Linked DNA regions of Ovis aries. The protein of the gene in region 2 purifies or fractionates together with the protein of the main gene of each other region. This does not show direct contact. Links are inferred from orthologs where the notes say so. Each region holds a gene or a part of one and is shown on either strand. Other genes may lie near its edges. The genes, in order: MDC1 and WRAP53.

Region 1 (3,810 bases), on a different chromosome or scaffold from region 2:
GAGAGGTGAGTGTCAAAGGGCCAGGCATCTGAGTCTTCAGATGGATGAGGAAGCAGGGGCTGGAGGAGCCATCTCTGGGAGAGCTAATTACCATCAAAGTCTGGGCTGGGGAACCACACATACTCCTTCACTCAACTGAATTTTTACTGAGCGTCTCATGTGCCAACTAGAGAATTAATTGTTGGAGACAGAACAGCAAGTACTACCTTGCGTCTGCTCTCAAGGAGTTCCTACTTGAGTGGAATATCCCTTCTGGGGCAATCGATTCTATAGGTTTCTTCTCTTCCCTTCACAGTGATGAAGAAGGGCCTTCCCCTGCCCCAGATGGGCCCGGGCCACCTTCTGCCTTCAACTTGAACAGCGACACGGATGAGGAAGAAAGTCAGGAATCAGGAGCAGGGGAGGCCTCTTCAGCTGCCAGAAGAGGTACCGCTGCAGAGACGGAACAGCCTGAACCTGTCACAGCCGAGATCCAGATTGAGAAGGATCAGTGTTCCGTGAAGGAGAGGAACGGGGACACAGAAATCGAGAGGGATGTGAGGAATGGGGTGGTTCCGACTGGAGTGATTCTGGAGAGGAGCCAGCCTTCTGGGGAGGACAGTGACACAGATGTGAGTGATGAGAGTGGGCCTCGAAGAAGGCTTGTTGGGGTCCGTCCGAAAAGGGCCTGGTCTTGTAACTTCATAGACAGTGATACCGATGGAGAGGACGAGGGGATCCCTGCTACCCCAGCAGTGGTTCCCATGAAGGAGAGGCAGATCTTCCACGAAGCTGGTACACAGAGCCCCCAGGCACCTGGTGTGGCACGTTGGCAGGGGAGCCCAGCTGATGGTGATACAGATATAGAGGAGGGGGAGGCCCCCCCAGACAGAAGCCAAGCCTCCGTGGTGATCGACAGCAATACAGACGATGAGGAAGAAGTCTCAGCAGCACTGACACTGGCATGTCTAAGAGAGAGCCAGGCTGGTAAGTGGAACCGAGATCCAGATGCAGAAGAGACCAGGGCCCAACCCGTGGCCCTTCTGGAGCGAAGCCAGGCCTCTGCTGGGGGAGACAGTGACACAGATGTGGAGGAAGAGGGGCTCCCAGTGGAAAGGAGGGGAATGGTTCCCAAGGGTTACATGGACAGGGAATATTCAAAAAAGAGCCAGCACCTTCCCAGGGACAGTGATACAGAGGGGAAGGAAGATGAGAGCTCACCGGGGGTCCACCTGGAGAGAAGCCAGGCCTCTGCACAAGTGGAGGATGAGGTCCCACTGGGGCCAGCTGTTGCACTTCCGGAGAAGCGTCAGGTACAAGGCATAGTGTGGCCACATCACACCGATGCGGAGGCAGAAGGGGACCCGGCACAGCTCCCCGTGCTGCGTCTAGAGGAAGCCCGGCCTCCTCTAGCTGGGGACTGTGAACTGGATTCGGAGAACACATCTGCTGTCAGAAAGAGCCAGCTTCCGGCGGAAAAAGATGCTGGGACCACGTGGGCTGCAGCCGTTCCTGAACAGGACAGAGCACTTGCCATCGGGACCCAGGGTGGGTCATCCACGGCACCAGGGGAGCAAGACCTTCTCCCGGTCTCAAGGGAAGACCTAGCAGATATGGTGGTGGACATAGGCACTCCAGGGGAGCCCCAACCGCAGAGAGAGGGGGCCCAGACCACCACAGGAAGGGAGAGAGAACCATATGGGAATAGGGCCACAGACTCTGGAGACAACCTCCACGGTAAGTGCTGGCCTTTCTTCCTCCCTGGAGGTCTGCGATAAAGAATGCTTCTTGCTTCTAGCGTATCTTAGTTCATGTGAGCTGCTATAACAAAAGACCATAGACTAGGTAGCTTATAAAACAACAGAAGTTTATTTTTCACAGTTCTAAATGCTGGGAAGTCTAAGATCAAGATACCAGCAAATTCAGTGTCTGATGAGGCCCTGCTTCTTACAGATAGCCGTCTTCTCGTTATGTCTTCATATGGCAAAAGGGCCCAAGGGAGCTCTCTGGAGTCTTTCTCTCATTTTTTCTAAATGACTTTATTTATTTTTGGCTGTGCTGGGTCTTCCTTGCTGCGCTGGCTTTTCTCTAGTTATGTGGAGCCAAGGCTACTCTCTAGTTGTAGTACACTGACTTCTCATTGCAGTGGTTTCTCTTGTTGAGTATGGGCTCTAGAGCTCAGGCTCAGTAGTTGTGGCACACAGGCTTAGTTGCTCCAGGGCATGTGGGATCTTCCTGGATCAGGGCTTGAACCTGTGTCTTCTGCATTGGCAGGCAGATTCTTTATCACTGAGCCACGGCTGAGCCTGCACTAATACCATTCATGCAGGCTGCGCCCTCATGACCTAGTCACCTCCCAGTCACCTCCTAATGCCCTCACATTGGAAATTAGGTTTCAACATAAGAATATTTGGGGAGACACAGATTCAGGCTATTGCATAGGATTGGGGCTGTGGAGAGAACTATAGAGAAAAGGAGTTAGGATCAGCTCTGGTTTTTTAATTATCCTGCATTCCTCCCCACCAGATTCTGAAGATCTGGACCTACCAGCTACCCAGTGCTTTGTAGACAGAAAGAATCAGAGCCTGGAAGGTGAGGCCATCTTTGTTGTGTGGATACTGGTACAAGCAGGAGCTGGGAGATTAGATTGGTGGTCCTTGAAGGATGTGAAGGCTGGCATAGGCAGCAGAGAAGACTGGGAATGGGCCCTCAGAGTTCTGTGGAGGAGCAGTGCTCAGGCCATGCTTTTTTGTGTAGCAGCCCCCAGCATGGAGGATGAGCCCACCCAGGCCTTCCTGTTTCCTCTGCCCCAAGAGCCTGGCCCTTCCTGTTGCAGCTCCCAGGCCACAGGTATGAGAAACTCACGCCTCTTCTGTGCCCTTAACTTGGCATCCTTATTTCCCCTCTGTCCAGTTCAGTTCAGTTCAGTCACTCAGTCATGTCCAACTCTTTGCGACCCCATGAATCGCAGCACGCTAGGCCTCCCTGTCCATCACCAACTCCCGGAGTTCACTCAGACTCACGTCCATCGAGTCAGTGATGCCATCCAGCCATCTCATCCTCTGTCGTCCCCTTCTCCTCCTGCCCCCAATCCCTCCCAGCATCAGAGTCTTTTCCAATGAGTCAACTCTTCGCATGAGGTGGCCAAAGTACTGGAGTCTCAGCTTTAGCATCATTCCTTCCAAAGCCTGTCTTTATAGCCTTTGACATTTTTTTGCTGATGTTCCTCCATCTAAGCAGAAAAGAATGCTACATTAAGTCAGACCCAGAGAGCAACTACTCTAGCAACTAGCTTATTTTAATTTATGTATTTGGTTGCACGGGGTCTTAGTGGTGGCACACAGGGTCTTTAGTTGCAGCATGAGGACTCTTTACTTGCAGCATGTCGGATCTAGTTCCCTGACCGGGGATCAAACCTGGTCCTCCTACATTGGGAGCTCAGAGTCTTAGCCACTGGACCACCAGTGAAATGTTATGGCTCTCTTCCTTATTCCCAGCTTTCCTTTAATAACTCACTTAAATTTATTATGCATGAATTTGTCTTAATCTTTTCTCAAGCTGTTACCTCTTCAACCTACATCCCTCTCTCTCTGACTCTGCTTCCAGGTTCCTTGGATGAGTCATGGGAGGCGTTGGCGACACAGCCATTCTGTCCGAGAGAATCTGAGGCCTCCGAGACCCAAACCGTTGTCACCCTCCTTGACACCCATGCATCTTGGCCCTCTCCATCTAGGACAGCACAGCAAGAGCAACATCCAGAGAGCCCAGTCCATGCAGAGCCACTGGGGATGGAAGGCAGAGAGATGCAGACTGTGGAGAAAGAAATGGGTA
Region 2 (3,810 bases):
TGTATTTCATTTGTGGCATTATTGTTTCTGTTTCATGTTTTGGTGTTTTGGCCTTGAGGCATGGTATTTTCATTTTTAACGTCTGAAAGTTTGGTATGGAAATGGATAACATTTATTTAGGTGGGGAAAGTGGGGGACGGTTTGGGGGTATTTTTGTGCATCTGTGTACTGCTTCTTCTCAACACAGTTTCCCAACTCCTCTCCTCCTTTTTCTACCTTTTCACAGAGCTTTCTGGAACTCCTATTTCTATGTCCCCCCCTCTTCCCTGAATACTCTGCCTACCCTGTGGCTCTTGCCTGAGGCCTTCCCTTTCCTGTACCTTCTCTAGGGGAGACTGTGCAACCTCTGTGTCCTACATATCTCGGGTTGGGGAGGGGGTGTCCTCATTCTCAAATGCTATATCCAGACAATTGCTTTTCTGCTTTGTAAAAACTGTTCCTTTGTGGCTTAGGCTGTCTGATTCTCCCTGACTTGCTGAGTACCTTGGCACCTCAGCTCTCTTCTGCATGCCATGTCTTTGTACCATCTTGGTGACCTTAGGTATCCAAACGAGAAAGCAGGGTCTCATCCTTTAATCCCCCTCTCCTAACCCCCACATCCAATTAATTACCAAATCCCATCAAGTCCGCCTGATCTTTCTAATTTATCCAGTTCACTCTGTTTTAATTCAAGGTGCTATTATTTTGGGCCTTATGTTATTGGGACAGTCTTCTGTTTCCATTTGCCCATTAAAACATTTGACTGCTGATTGTGCTGATTCCTCAGTAGGTGTTGGGGAAGCAGTGGTAAGTAAGACAGACATGATTCCTGCCTTTTGCAGAGTGGAGACACAGAAGGCATTTGGAACGTGGTTCAGGAGGAGGCTTCCCATGGGGACAAGTATCTGAGAGACCCAAAGGATGGCTAGGATTTGACCAGGAAGAGTTGTTGGGGGAAATGAGGGAAGGCTGTTCCAGACTTGGAGTCTAGTGTGTGTGAAAGCCTGCAGCCCAGGAATGCAGTGAGTTGGCATCTTCTCAGAGCTGGGAATCAGGATGGTGGAGTGTGGAGATGTTACAGGAAAGAAGGCAGGGGTGAGGGATGAGCCTGGAGAGGTGGGTGTGGGGTAGATGCCTGGTAAGGGAAGTCTTCCTAGAAGATTGGGTTTTATACTGAGGGTTATGGAGAAGCATTGCAATGCTTTGAGCAGGAGAATGATGCGGTACATGAGTCCAGGGCCTCAGTGTGGCTGAAGAATGGAAAATTGAGTGGCAGGTTAGAGTATGGGGAGGAGGGAGGCCAGGGCTGGCAAGAAGGTAGTGGCTACACGTGGAATCAGAGGTAAGGAGACATGTTCAAGTGAACCTAGGAGGTGGAATTGGCAAGCTCTGGCCTTGGATTGGACCAGGAGAGGAAAGGGCATGAAGAGAGTAGTAGTCAGGGTGCTCAGACTTCAGCCTTGAGAACCGGGTGCAGAGCCCAGGAGGAGCAGCAGATTCAGAGGCAGCAGAGGCTGGGTCTGTCCCGGCTAAACTGAGTTGAGGAGCCTGTGCGATGCCCTAATGGAACTTTCCTCCAGGCAGTCAGATGCAAGGGTTAAGAGTGGAGATGTGGACCTGCAGTCACAGCTGGGTGACATCACCCCAAGGGCCAGCAAGTAAGGGACAAAGGACTCGTATCCTGCTGATGTGAAGATTTCCTTTAAGTCAGTAAGTCGAAGACAACAACCAAGGAGAAAACTGAGCAAAAACTATGAGAAGGTGCCCTTAGAAGGAAAAGTGCCTTTACTGGTAATGAGAGATGCCAGTTTATATTGTAATGAAATACCATTTCACAGCCTTCAAATTGAGAAAAATATGGGAGTCTGGCAACAGCAAGAGGAGGCAGAGCAATGGGTGCTCCTACATGCCGCTGCGGGGAGAATAAATTGGGATGAGCACTTTTGGAAAAAAAAAGTGACACGATCTCGTAGAGTTGGCAGAGCACATACTATGGAGCCCAGTGGTTTCCCTCAGTAGCAGAAACTGCAGAGAATCCCTCCCACATGTGTACCAGATTGTTAAAGTGCACTTGCCAGAAACTGGAAAAACATCAGTGACTGTCAATAGAGAACGATGCGTGAATGGAGTGCTGTGAAGCAGGGAAAATGCGTGAATTCAAGCTAAGTTTGTCACCATAAATCTCATAATCACGATGGGACGCATGTAGCGTGGTACCATTCATATTAAGTTTAAAGGCAAGCAAGACCATGCTATATATTGTCTTTCCTCTATGAATATATTCCTAAAGAAATATACAAGAATGATAAATTAAGGATAGTGTTTCCCTCTAAAGGAGGATTTCATTGGGAAGAGGTTTTTAACTGTTTGGTAAAACATTTTGTTTCTTAAGCTGAGTGGAGGCCTCACAGGGTTTGGTTTGGCTTTGTTTTAATACTTCTTTGCTTGTTTGAACTGGTCGATAACTTTTGTAAAGGATCCAATGGCACCTGGTAGGTGGCTTGGTGGGTATTTGCATCATTGGCTGGTTCTTTGTCTCTGGGTTGGGGTATTATTTGTTTCTCTAAGTGTTGACAAAGCAAAAGGATAAATCTGTATGGCATTTAGTGGCCCAAGTCTGATGTGAAAGTCTGAGCTAGCCTTGAATTGGAAGATCAAGATCTTGTTCTTGTATTTGCCTGATGTGCCTTCCCCTGCCTGGTTAAGTGCCCACAGAGCGTCTCCCGCTGCCATAAACCTGCTCCAGGTCCGAGTGGGCCTCCTTGTCCTACCAGTGACCCAGGCATCTCCTCATCTCTGTCTAGGCCCCTGTCCTTCGAATGGTGGAAGGCGACACCATCTATGACTACTGCTGGTATTCCCTGATGTCTTCAGCTCAGCCAGACACCTCCTAGTAAGTGATGTCTTTTGCCTGCTTTCCCTCCCCACCCCCATTTTAAGGGGACCCTCTGCTGAGAGACAGCCAGGGGCTGTGGGGGTCTCAGGAGGAGGGAAGCTTGCTTTGACCTTCAGATGTGAGCTGAGAGGGCTGGTCAGTTGGCTTCCTCCCCTTCCTTTGACAGCACCGGGGCCTCGGTGTCCATGTCTCTCTCAGCGTGGCCAGCAGCAGCAGGGAGAACCCAATTCACATCTGGGACGCCTTCACCGGAGAGCTCCGGGCTTCCTTTCGCTCCTACAATCACCTGGTAGGGACTCTCTGCCTAGCCCCAGGGCTTGCCCTGGCCTAGCTCTCCTTCCTGGAGAAGGAAGAGGCTGTGCGCCAGGCCTGTTTCCAGCCCTTCCCTTCCCCCAGGATGAGCTGACAGCAGCCCACTCGCTCTGCTTCTCCCCGGATGGCTCCCAGCTCTTCTGTGGCTTTAACCGGACTGTGCGTGTCTTCTCCACATCCCGGCCCGGCCGAGACTGCGAGGTCCGAACCACGTTTGGTAAGCAGTCTACACCTCCAAGGGAGGAGAGAAAGGGGCCCAGCCAAGAGCAGAGGGGCCCTGTGGTCATGTGCGGAGGTAGGGGGTTGAGGGGTTGTTACCCTCACAGCCCTGGGAGGTTGTACCCAGTAGATAGAGGAGAAAGCAGACTCACGGAGGGCATAAAACTTTCCCAAGATCAAACTCTAGTCAAGAGTTGGTTCACTCCTGAGCCCCTCCCCTGCTGGTACTTTACCTCTTGGTTCCCAAAGTTTTAGTTTTTCCAAGAAACTGGAGAAGCTGATTCCGTTTGCCTATAAGTCTTAGCTTTCTGACCCTTCCAAGGAAAAATTGAGGGGACTTCCCTGGCAGTCCAGGGGTTAAGACTGCACTTCCACTGCAGGGGGCACAGGTTTGATCCCAGTCA

Evidence for each region.
Region 1: the proteins of WRAP53 (region 2) and MDC1 purify together in Homo sapiens (affinity purification with western blotting, with the first as the bait; 3 studies listed by BioGRID). This does not show direct contact. The link is inferred for Ovis aries from reciprocal best matches to the Homo sapiens genes WRAP53 and MDC1.

What each region holds. Positions count from the first base shown.
Region 1 is NC_056073.1:27,424,160-27,427,969, forward strand, and holds part of MDC1 (mediator of DNA damage checkpoint protein 1), read left to right. Parts: coding exon 1-5; intron 6-295; coding exon 296-1,716; intron 1,717-2,505; coding exon 2,506-2,571; intron 2,572-2,736; coding exon 2,737-2,829; intron 2,830-3,585; coding exon 3,586-3,810. UniProt on the Homo sapiens protein: Histone reader protein required for checkpoint-mediated cell cycle arrest in response to DNA damage within both the S phase and G2/M phases of the cell cycle.
Region 2 is NC_056064.1:27,214,917-27,218,726, forward strand, and holds part of WRAP53 (telomerase Cajal body protein 1), read left to right. Parts: intron 1-2,783; coding exon 2,784-2,872; intron 2,873-3,073; coding exon 3,074-3,164; intron 3,165-3,271; coding exon 3,272-3,404; intron 3,405-3,810. UniProt on the Homo sapiens protein: RNA chaperone that plays a key role in telomere maintenance and RNA localization to Cajal bodies. Specifically recognizes and binds the Cajal body box (CAB box) present in both small Cajal body RNAs (scaRNAs) and telomerase RNA template component (TERC).